Callithrix jacchus: one gene and its partner. The protein of the gene in region 2 interacts with the protein of the main gene of each other region in a pairwise test. Links are inferred from orthologs where the notes say so. Each region holds a gene or a part of one and is shown on either strand. Other genes may lie near its edges. The genes, in order: STX4 and SEC22A.

What was found.
Region 1: the proteins of SEC22A (region 2) and STX4 interact in binary tests that used the Homo sapiens proteins (3 or more experiments, as listed by UniProt). The two-hybrid records come from large-scale screens. The link is inferred for Callithrix jacchus from reciprocal best matches to the Homo sapiens genes SEC22A and STX4.

Annotation. Positions count from the first base shown.
Region 1 is NC_133513.1:30,560,019-30,564,576, reverse strand, and holds the start of STX4 (syntaxin-4), read right to left. Parts: upstream 2,820-4,558; 5' UTR 2,551-2,819; coding exon 2,521-2,550; intron 2,344-2,520; coding exon 2,242-2,343; intron 2,153-2,241; coding exon of another isoform or gene 2,131-2,152; coding exon 2,031-2,130; intron 1,896-2,030; coding exon 1,821-1,895; intron 1,386-1,820; coding exon 1,315-1,385; intron 1-1,314. UniProt on the Homo sapiens protein: Plasma membrane t-SNARE that mediates docking of transport vesicles. Necessary for the translocation of SLC2A4 from intracellular vesicles to the plasma membrane.
Region 2 is NC_133516.1:79,848,710-79,853,195, forward strand, and holds the start of SEC22A (vesicle-trafficking protein SEC22a), read right to left. Parts: upstream 2,879-4,486; 5' UTR 2,702-2,878; exon of another isoform or gene 2,452-2,701; intron 1-2,451. UniProt on the Homo sapiens protein: May be involved in vesicle transport between the ER and the Golgi complex.

The DNA of each region.
Region 1 (4,558 bases), on a different chromosome or scaffold from region 2:
CAATCAGCACCACAGGTTACCCCAGAAGCACTGGCTATAGGTCATCTGCTCTGCCTTGCCCCTTCTCCTGAGGCCTTAAATATGTTCGTTCCTTGGAGTTTCGTTTCCAGAGATACATCTACTCTCCTGGATCCGGCTGCACCCTTCCAAGATGCCCAAGTTGCTCCATCTTCAATCTGGGGTCCTCACTTCCAACCCTGGGCCTAACTTCCAACCCTGACCTCCTAGAATCCTAAAGTACTTTTCACTGGGGACCCAGAGAGGGCCAGTCACATCACCCCAAAGGCCAGGTACAGTGGCTCACACCTGTAATCGTAGCATTTTGGGAAGCCACAGCAGGTAGGTCACTTGAGGTCAGGAGTTCAAGACAAGCCTGGCCAACATGGTGAAACGTCATTTCTACCAAAAATATAAAAAAATTAGCCAGGTGTGGTAGTGCACACCTGCAATCCCAGCTACTTGGGAGGCTAAGGCAGGAGAACAGCTTGAATCCAGATGGTAGACGTTGCAGTGAGCCGAGATCCTGCCACTGTACTCCAGCCTGGGTGACAGAGCAAGACTCCATCTCAAAAAAATAATAATTAAAAATATAAGATATCACACCAGGGAAGTTCCTCTTCAGTGTCGCCCCAGGGAAGTTCCTCTTCCTGCCTTCTTGAATTCTGCCTGTGGGACTAAGGACTCCCTGTCACATAGGCAGGAAAGCTGCCAGTCATTTATGACTTCTCTCTTTCCCTGGGCAGCACCATTATCACCAAGTCCTACGTGAGTAATGTCTTTGTCCTTATTGAACCTGAACTCCTCATCTTGACTCCTAGAAAATATGTGTCCCAGCCAGGCATGGTGGCTCACACCTATAATTCCAGCACTTTAGAGGCTGAGACAGGAGTGTCCCCTGAGGTCAGGAGTTCAAGACCAGCCTGGTCAACATGGTGAAACCCCATCTCTACTAAAAACACAAAAATTAGCCAGGCATGGTGATGTCTGCCTGTAATCCCAGCTATTCAGGAGGCTGAGGCAAAAAAAGTAAAAGAAACATGTGTCCCTACAGCCAAACCTAGGTCTTGTCTGGGGTCATAGCAACTTCTTATTGAATGAAAGAAAATAAAGCAGGGTATTATAATCGGACTAAGCATCAGGAGACCTGGTTTCCTGACTTTGAGCAAGTTCTTTCTCTGAGTTCAGTTTCCCCATTTGGAAAATCATTCCGCTGGACTCCACCATCTCTGCAGGCCCTTCCTTCATACATCTGTCATCCAGTACTTCATGAAACATTTGCTGAAATGTCCTCATTTCTGAGAAAAAAAAACCCACCTGGGTTTTTCTTATTCTTGTGTTGACGGAGTTATAGTTCTCATCAGCTTCCTCCTTCTGGGGCTCTATGGCTGTGGGAAGACACATGGAGTACTGGGGGTACTTGTTTCCATGGATTTTTAGGGAAATATAATTTATCATAAAATGACTAAGGCTGAGCCTCCAAGAGGAGAAAGTACGTTTATTTTTCTTTGCATTACATCACTGAGTTCCCATAGGTATGCAGAGGCCACCTAACAAAACCCCATCCTCTTGCCCAAAGAATGCCCAGTGGGCTGCAATAACTGTGTAAGTAAATGGTTACATTGTAAATAAAAGAACCTGAGAGGCCGGCTTGTCCTGTGGAGAGTACAATGGCCTGGAGGCCAGGAGACAGAGATGCTAGACCCAGGCCTGCTGTGTGACCTGGTTATATCATCGGCTTCTCTGGGCCACACACTCCCCAGATACACCAACAACAGGGCAGGATCAAAGGGAAGGATCTGTCTGAGGTCCCAGGAGCTCACCCTTCAGCTGCAGGCGGATCTCCCTCCCCAGCTGTTTGATCTCATCGCGCAGGTTCTGCAAGTCCTGCTTCATGCCTGAATAAGAGAAGACCACGACTCCGAACAGCAGCTCCCACCTCAACAAACCACCCTGGCAATCACCTATGTGGGACTACAACCCCCACAATCCCTAAGGTGGTGCATGCGCCCTGCAGTCGGAGTTTCACTCACTCTCCTCGGGAAGGGGCGTGGCCAAGATGGTGACCTGCTGTTTCTCCAACTCCTGGACTTTATTCCCCAGTTTGACAATAGTCTGCCGAATTGCCCGGACCTGGGGAGGGTGACCGAGAGGGCTGAAAGAGATATGGGGTACTCCAGACCACGCTGGTCCTCGGGTCTTCCTACCCCCTCGCGAATCCAGGCAGAGACCCCAGCCCCTTACCTTCTGGAAGAACTCCTCGTCCGGGCTCCCCAGCCGTGCCATGCCCGGGTGCACCACCAGCGCGACCCGCTCCTTGTCCTCTTCGTCCGAGCTGTCATCCCCCTGCGAGGCCCGGAGTCATTGGTACCACTGTTTCGCTGCGGCTCTCACCCCGCACGACCCACAGGCTTCCGGGACTTTCCTTCCTGGCCATCAGCCATCCCTCCCCGCCCTGAAGATCAGGAGTCCTGCGTTCCAGTTCGTCCGCCCCTCAACATCTCCACTGCCCCCATGTCTCACCTGCCTCAGCTCGTGGGTCCTGTCCCGCATGGCGGCCTGAGCTCTCCCTCCTCGGCGCCTGAGCCAGGAGGCCCTCAAGTTTGGAATTCCCGTACCCCACTCACACTCTGACACTCCCCTCCCTCCCGGTGCGGACCTCAACACCCCCACAAGCCGCCAGACGCTCTGTCCCTTGCACCACCCACAGTCAATGGGAAGGAGCCGACCCCGGGGACCACTAAGGTTCCACAGGTTGGAATTCCCTTTTCTTCCCCTCTCTTGCTCTCTCAGCCTCAGCCCCGCCCCTCCGTGATAAATTCGGGGCATGCGCACAAGGTCGCGTCTCTTCCTCGCCGGAGGGGGAAGGCGGAGTCGGAAGTTGTTGCGCCCCGAGCGGAAACGGAGCTGCCTGGACGCGAGAACCCGCCCCCCTCACCGGAACCGTTGCAACTTCCAACGGAAATCTGGTTGCCAAAAGGCGTAGGAGTACGTCATTTGTACGTAAGCCGAGACACCCGCATCTCATATCACCCCATGATGCCCCCACTGCATCACGTGACCAGCCCGTTCCCAAACTCGCGGACCGCAGAACGTGACGCTGTGACTGTCACGTGTCCCGGCTCTGTCACCGCGGTCTCTGGGACGCCGTTCTCATCACGAAGTCCCCGGCACCCCAGCGACCGAACGACGCCCACACAGCCCCCGCGAGGTGGGGAGGGGCGCGCCGACCACCCCCAGAGGCCTTTTGAGGCAGTGGGTGGGTGTACCCTTGATGACTTCGCCTTTATTGCTTTCGGGTCCAGGAACGTGGGCAGACCACTTAGCATTTGGGGCTGTCAGCATCATGGGACCTCGAAAATCGGGAAATAATATCCGAGCCGTCAGCGTCAGAAAATTGCAGGGTTGTGTGAGCAGGGAATCTGGGGGTGGGAGGTGACCTCACCCAAGGCAGAAATCTCCCGCATCCTCCTGGCGCAGCCTCTGGTAGGTGGGCGGCCGGCGCCCTCCTTGAACATGGCAGCCCGGCTGCACTCACCACCTCTGAGCAGTCAGACCATGTCAGGGCAGCTCAGGCTAAGAAAAGTGTCTGTATTGTTGAGCACGCTGCCTCCCTACCACTCACACCCCCCAGCCCCTACCTTACATCTGAGATCAGGTCATGACTTCGTTCTTAACTGAATCTGGGGAGTTCCTAGCTCACTACCAAGCACATAATGGGCCCTCTGTAAATAACTGTGCACAAAATTTTAGCCTTTCATGTATCTCAGGATAAAGCCCCCAGTTTCCTGGTCTTCTTTGGGTTTCAGACTTTCTGACTGTAACACTTCCCTAACCCTGGCTATCTAGATATTCACTCGTTTTTTATTTTTAAAAATTTTCATGAGGTGAGGTCTCATTATGTTGCCCAAGCTGGTCTCGAACTCTCGGGCTCAAGCAATCCTGCCTCAGCCTCCCAAAGTGCTGGGATTACAGGCAACATTAATTCGCTTAATGGATATTTATTGGGCACATACTATGGACCAAACACTGTTCTAGACTTGGAGACATATCAGGGACTAATAGACAAAAATTCCTGCACTCGTCAAACTTACATTCTCTAGGAGGAGTCCCCAAGGTCACTCAGCAAGTCTCAGCATAGCCAGGAATGAATAATGGACTCCTGGAACCCAGGGCTCTCCAGGAAGCTTCTGTGAAGGTACAAGTAGGGGAAGGAATGGACCCTTTCTGCTATGACCTGGTCAGGAAGCCTAGATTCCTGGGACTGAGTTGCTATGGACTTCTGGAAATCGCTTCCTGTCTCTAAGCCTTGATCTCCCTCTGTACAGTGGGTAACTAGGGGGATGGAGAGATCATTATAGGTATCCCCTGCTCTAAACTTCAGTGATGATGAGGTTGGAAATTGTCGAGTGCTATCTGATTCTATGTGAAGGGCTTTAGCTCTTCTTTTCCTGTTAAAACCCAGCTCAGCCTGGGCACAGTGGCTCATGCCTGTAATCCCAGTACTTTGGGAGGCCAGGAGTTCAAGACCAATGTGACGAAACCCCATCACTACAAAAAT
Region 2 (4,486 bases):
GCACAAGTTAGAATCTAGGTAAATCTGGGTAAACCTTTATGTAAAGGCTGAGGAAAATAAATTCCCATAATGCCAAACTACTATAGTAGTGTTAGCAAGTTCTTAGACCTAAGATAACAAGACATCTCTCTTCTTCAGGACCTTGTGTGGGTAATGACAACAGGTTCAATGTCTCAGGAAGGTATCTCTCAAAAGGTAATAAAGCCCAACATATAAGTAGATTTTGTATATATGTTCTAGCCAAATGCTTTCACAAATGCCATTTTTAAGATAAAAACATTCTATACTGGGGGTAAAAGCACTCATTTATTTTAGTTCATAATTTCCCAGTCTTCAGTCATCTAAATGCCACTTTCATAATTATCTTCATCCACCTGTACTATTTACCTAATATTGGTCTTTGAACTGACTTACTTTTCTTGTCCTCTATTTTTTAGCAATAATATCTGAAATCAGTTTTGAGGTGTCAGGTTTTTATGATTAAATGTACTTGTTTCATTCAAGTATGTGTGTGAACATTTTGGGAGAATTTTTTAAATGTTCATCTGCTAATCAAATTATCTTGCATATGTGACAGTACCAAAGTTTGAGAAACACTACCAATAAGGTACATGTTATTTTATTAAAAGTGGTAGCAGAGATCTGTGGGAATGTTGGGGGGGCAGTGGCAGTTAATCTGGACAGAAAGCTATACTAACTGTGATGCACAGGGAGGGTGCGGGGTAGATTGAGTGATAAAGGGGAAGAAATTTCTACCATTCTGCCTGTGCGCTTTACCTCACTAGTAGTTTTTGACACTCCTATTATGGGCGCTTGCACTGCACAGTATGTATAAGACCTCAGGCTTCACAATAGATTTTACTCACATCTAGGACAGGGCCAACAGTATATGCTCAAAGGTGTCAATCCCAACATTTGCATAGTGCCACATAGTCCACATTTGGATAGGTAGAACCTCCATTTTACAGATGAGGAAATGGAGGCTCACTTTCTCAATGTCACACTGCTAGTATATAGCAGAACTGGTTCTTCAATCTAAATTTCTAATATCTCTATACCACAATGCTTCATCAGTCTCCAAAAACCAACAAGAGGCAAGAAACCAGTGATACAGAAACTAGCTATTCATTTTAAAATAATAAAATAGCAGGTTATAATTTCTTTAAGAGGCAGTACAGTTTGGTAGTTATAAAGAGGACAGAATCTGGAGCCAGGCTTCCTGGGTCCTAATTCTGGCTCCACAATGCACCAGCCATGCAAATTTGGGCAAACTTTGACATATCTCAATTTTCACACCTACATATTGTGGCTACTAATGGTATCTATTTCATAGGCTTGTTTTAAAAATAATATTATCTATCTCATAGGATCATGTAAAGCACCTGAAACACTGCCTTGTAATATACTAAAAGCACTATATTAAGTATTTGCTATATTATTTACTGATTACTCTCTATGGACCACACACTTCATACAAATTACCTCATTTAAGCCTTCCAACAACCTGTGAGGTAGGTATTATTAGTTCCGTTTTACCTTTGAGGAAACTCAAGCCCAAAAAGCTTAAGGAATTTGTTTAATCCCTAAACTAAAAAGTGACAAAGTAGGGATTTAACTCAGGCCCAACTCTAACACTGTGAGACACTATCAACATATGCAAATTTCTTACTCAAAAACATGTAAAGGAAGGTCACAGGCACCCCTGTGATAGTGCCTGGGCCTCTTTCATACACCAACATAAGATATACTTCTATTTTAATCAGTTGCACACAAAAAATAAATTAAAAGCACCAAACAGATGTGATGTTTTCAACATAGGAAATACCTGAATGTCCCTATTAATTTAGGATACGGTCACAGGTGTTAACGTCAAATAATGAACTTTAATATACCAGAAATTGTAGGTACCACTTAAGGCATTGCCTGATCCCTTACAATCTTAGCATGTAACCAAATATAAATAACATGGAAAGTGAATTGGAGTTTTAAAAGTGGCTGTTCCCCCGATTGGAGATCCAACATCTCCAGTCTGGTGGCTGACACTTTTGCTCTGGGCTAGGCTTTGCCTTGGCTGAATAGGCATAGGAGGGACTGGTTCTCAAGCTCGCCACCTGCCCCAGGTGGATAATCCAGGAAACTAAGCAACAGGAGAAAAATTATCTTCAGCTGTATTCACTGGCAGAGAGATTCAAGCCAGCTGGGACTTGTCCTGTTCTTTCGGAGACCTCCTCCACTTGTGGAGCCAATTACTCAGGTCTCCCTTCCGCCATATCGTTTCCAAAGTGACTCTTGAGACAGGGTCTCAAGAAGTTTCTGTGAGCCAACGTGGGCAAATATCTGGGCTCAATGCTCACTCCATCCCCACAAGACGTAAACTAAGACACTGGTTCAAGTCCCATTCTGCCTAAAAGAAGTAAGAAACGCCACCTCAAGCTCTCGCGGGCCACTTACACAGGTAGATCACCGTGTTTCCGACATCTGGGGGCCAGGGAATCCCCACCACTACGCTGACAGCCAAGGGCGACTGTTCCTCCCCCTCAGATATTCCTCCCCTGGCTGCCCAATACCTGAGGCAGCACAGACAAAGCGCAACTGCCACCCGCGTGGCCCAACAGACCCCTCAAGTCGAAGGGGACGGGGTCCCCGCTTGCCCGCCCCTCCAGAGCTCCGCGGCCCCAGCTCCCACCCCAAAGGCACAGACTTGGCTCCTGCCCGTCGGGTAGGTCTTCAGTCCCGAGGGCGGAGGCCGAGGCTGTGGCGGGAGACCGGGAGAGGAAGGGGAGCGGCCGGCAGGCGTTCGAACGACCCCTAAGAAGGGAAGAGGACTGGGAGGGGCAGGGAAGTACCTGTCGAGCTGGGACCCGCCGCTCCGAGTGACGCGCCCCGCAATGCATTGTGGGGCCTGGGAGGAGCCTTTCGGCGAGGCTGCGGTGCGTCCAACGGGGCTCGCACACGCGGAATCTAACCACGCCCCCGTTCCCTCGGCTCGCCCAGGCCAATCGGGTTCTGCGGGAAGGCCACAACAACCCGCCCACTCCCGGGACCCGCCTTAGTCCCACCCCATGCAGGAGGGATTGGCAGCCTCTCTCGCACCTGCGCCAGAAAAGTACCCCGTCCTCTGTTGACACAACTGCCCTGACTTCAGAAATAGGGTCAGTCTCCCCCGCTCGCCGCCCTGTATCTGCAGGCATTTGTCTCTCACAAGCTGCCCTACAGCAAACATTATCAAAGGGACAGGGAGAAAAGCCCCCTCTGGGTGAGCAAGGAGAGGAGCTAGCCCCTTCTATTCCCGCACACATGAAGGAAACTAACCGTAGCAGAGAAGTGCCGGATGCAGACCCTGCGACCCCTTCCGGCCTTTGCATCGGTCGTACATTATTAAATAGGCATTTACTGACTGTTTACCATGTGCCAAGCACCGTGTTAAGCACGGGGTTACAGGAGTGGACGTAACACTTGATGGAATTTAAGACGTAATAGGAGCAAGAGACATTAAAGCACAAATAGTTACAGAATTATAAATTGTGATCAGTACTGGGAGGGAAAATTAGTGGGTGCAATGATGAATTAATTTTGGACTGTCAGGGAAGAGCCCTCCGAATAAGTGCCTTTTAAGCTGCAGACATATTAAAGAGCCTTAGAGAGTGTTCCCGGTCAAGGAAATATGATGTGTGAGGTTGTTAGGACATGACATAACTTCGTGTGCTCTAGGAACTAAAAGGAAGTCAATGTGGATGGAGTGTAGGGAACAAGGAGAAACTTTGCGCATTGACTTTAAGATATCTTCCAAAATACAGCCTGAAATCTGTAATGTGGCCAATAAGAGCCAGCGTGGTCTGGCCCTTGTCTCATCTCAGCCAAAGGTCAATGGGCAGCTCATAAAGACTATTATTAAGTAGATTCTTATTTGCATATTTAAGAATCACTCAAGCTGTTTGTGGGGAATAGATTGGAAGAGGGCAAGAAGGGCTGCTGGGAGGCCAGTTGGAAGCAGTTGCATCAGACAAAGCCAGAAATGGTGGCTTGAACTAGTGTAATGGGAGTTAAAGACAGAGGTGGATAATTTCAAGATATATATAAACCAAAGATGGTATCCAAGGGACTTACTAATAGATTGGTTTGCCAGAAAGGTCAAAAAAGAGGAATATTAAGGATGACTCCTTAAGTAACTAGATGGATTGAGAAGTCATTTACTGATTCATGGAACACAAAAGGAGGAGCAAATGGTTTGGAATGTTAAATTTGAAATGCTTATAAATGGACATGTCAAGTAGATTTGGATGTAAACCTAGAGTTCAGAAGAAAGGCCTGAACTAACATAAATTTGGTCCTACTCAACAGAAATGTATTCATATATTCACCAGAAAACATATGTATAAGAATGTTCATGAAATGAATAAATTTTAGAATATCCTCACTGGGCGCGATGGCTCATGCCTGTAATCCCAGCACTTTGGGAGGCTGAGGTGGGCGGATCACTTGAGGT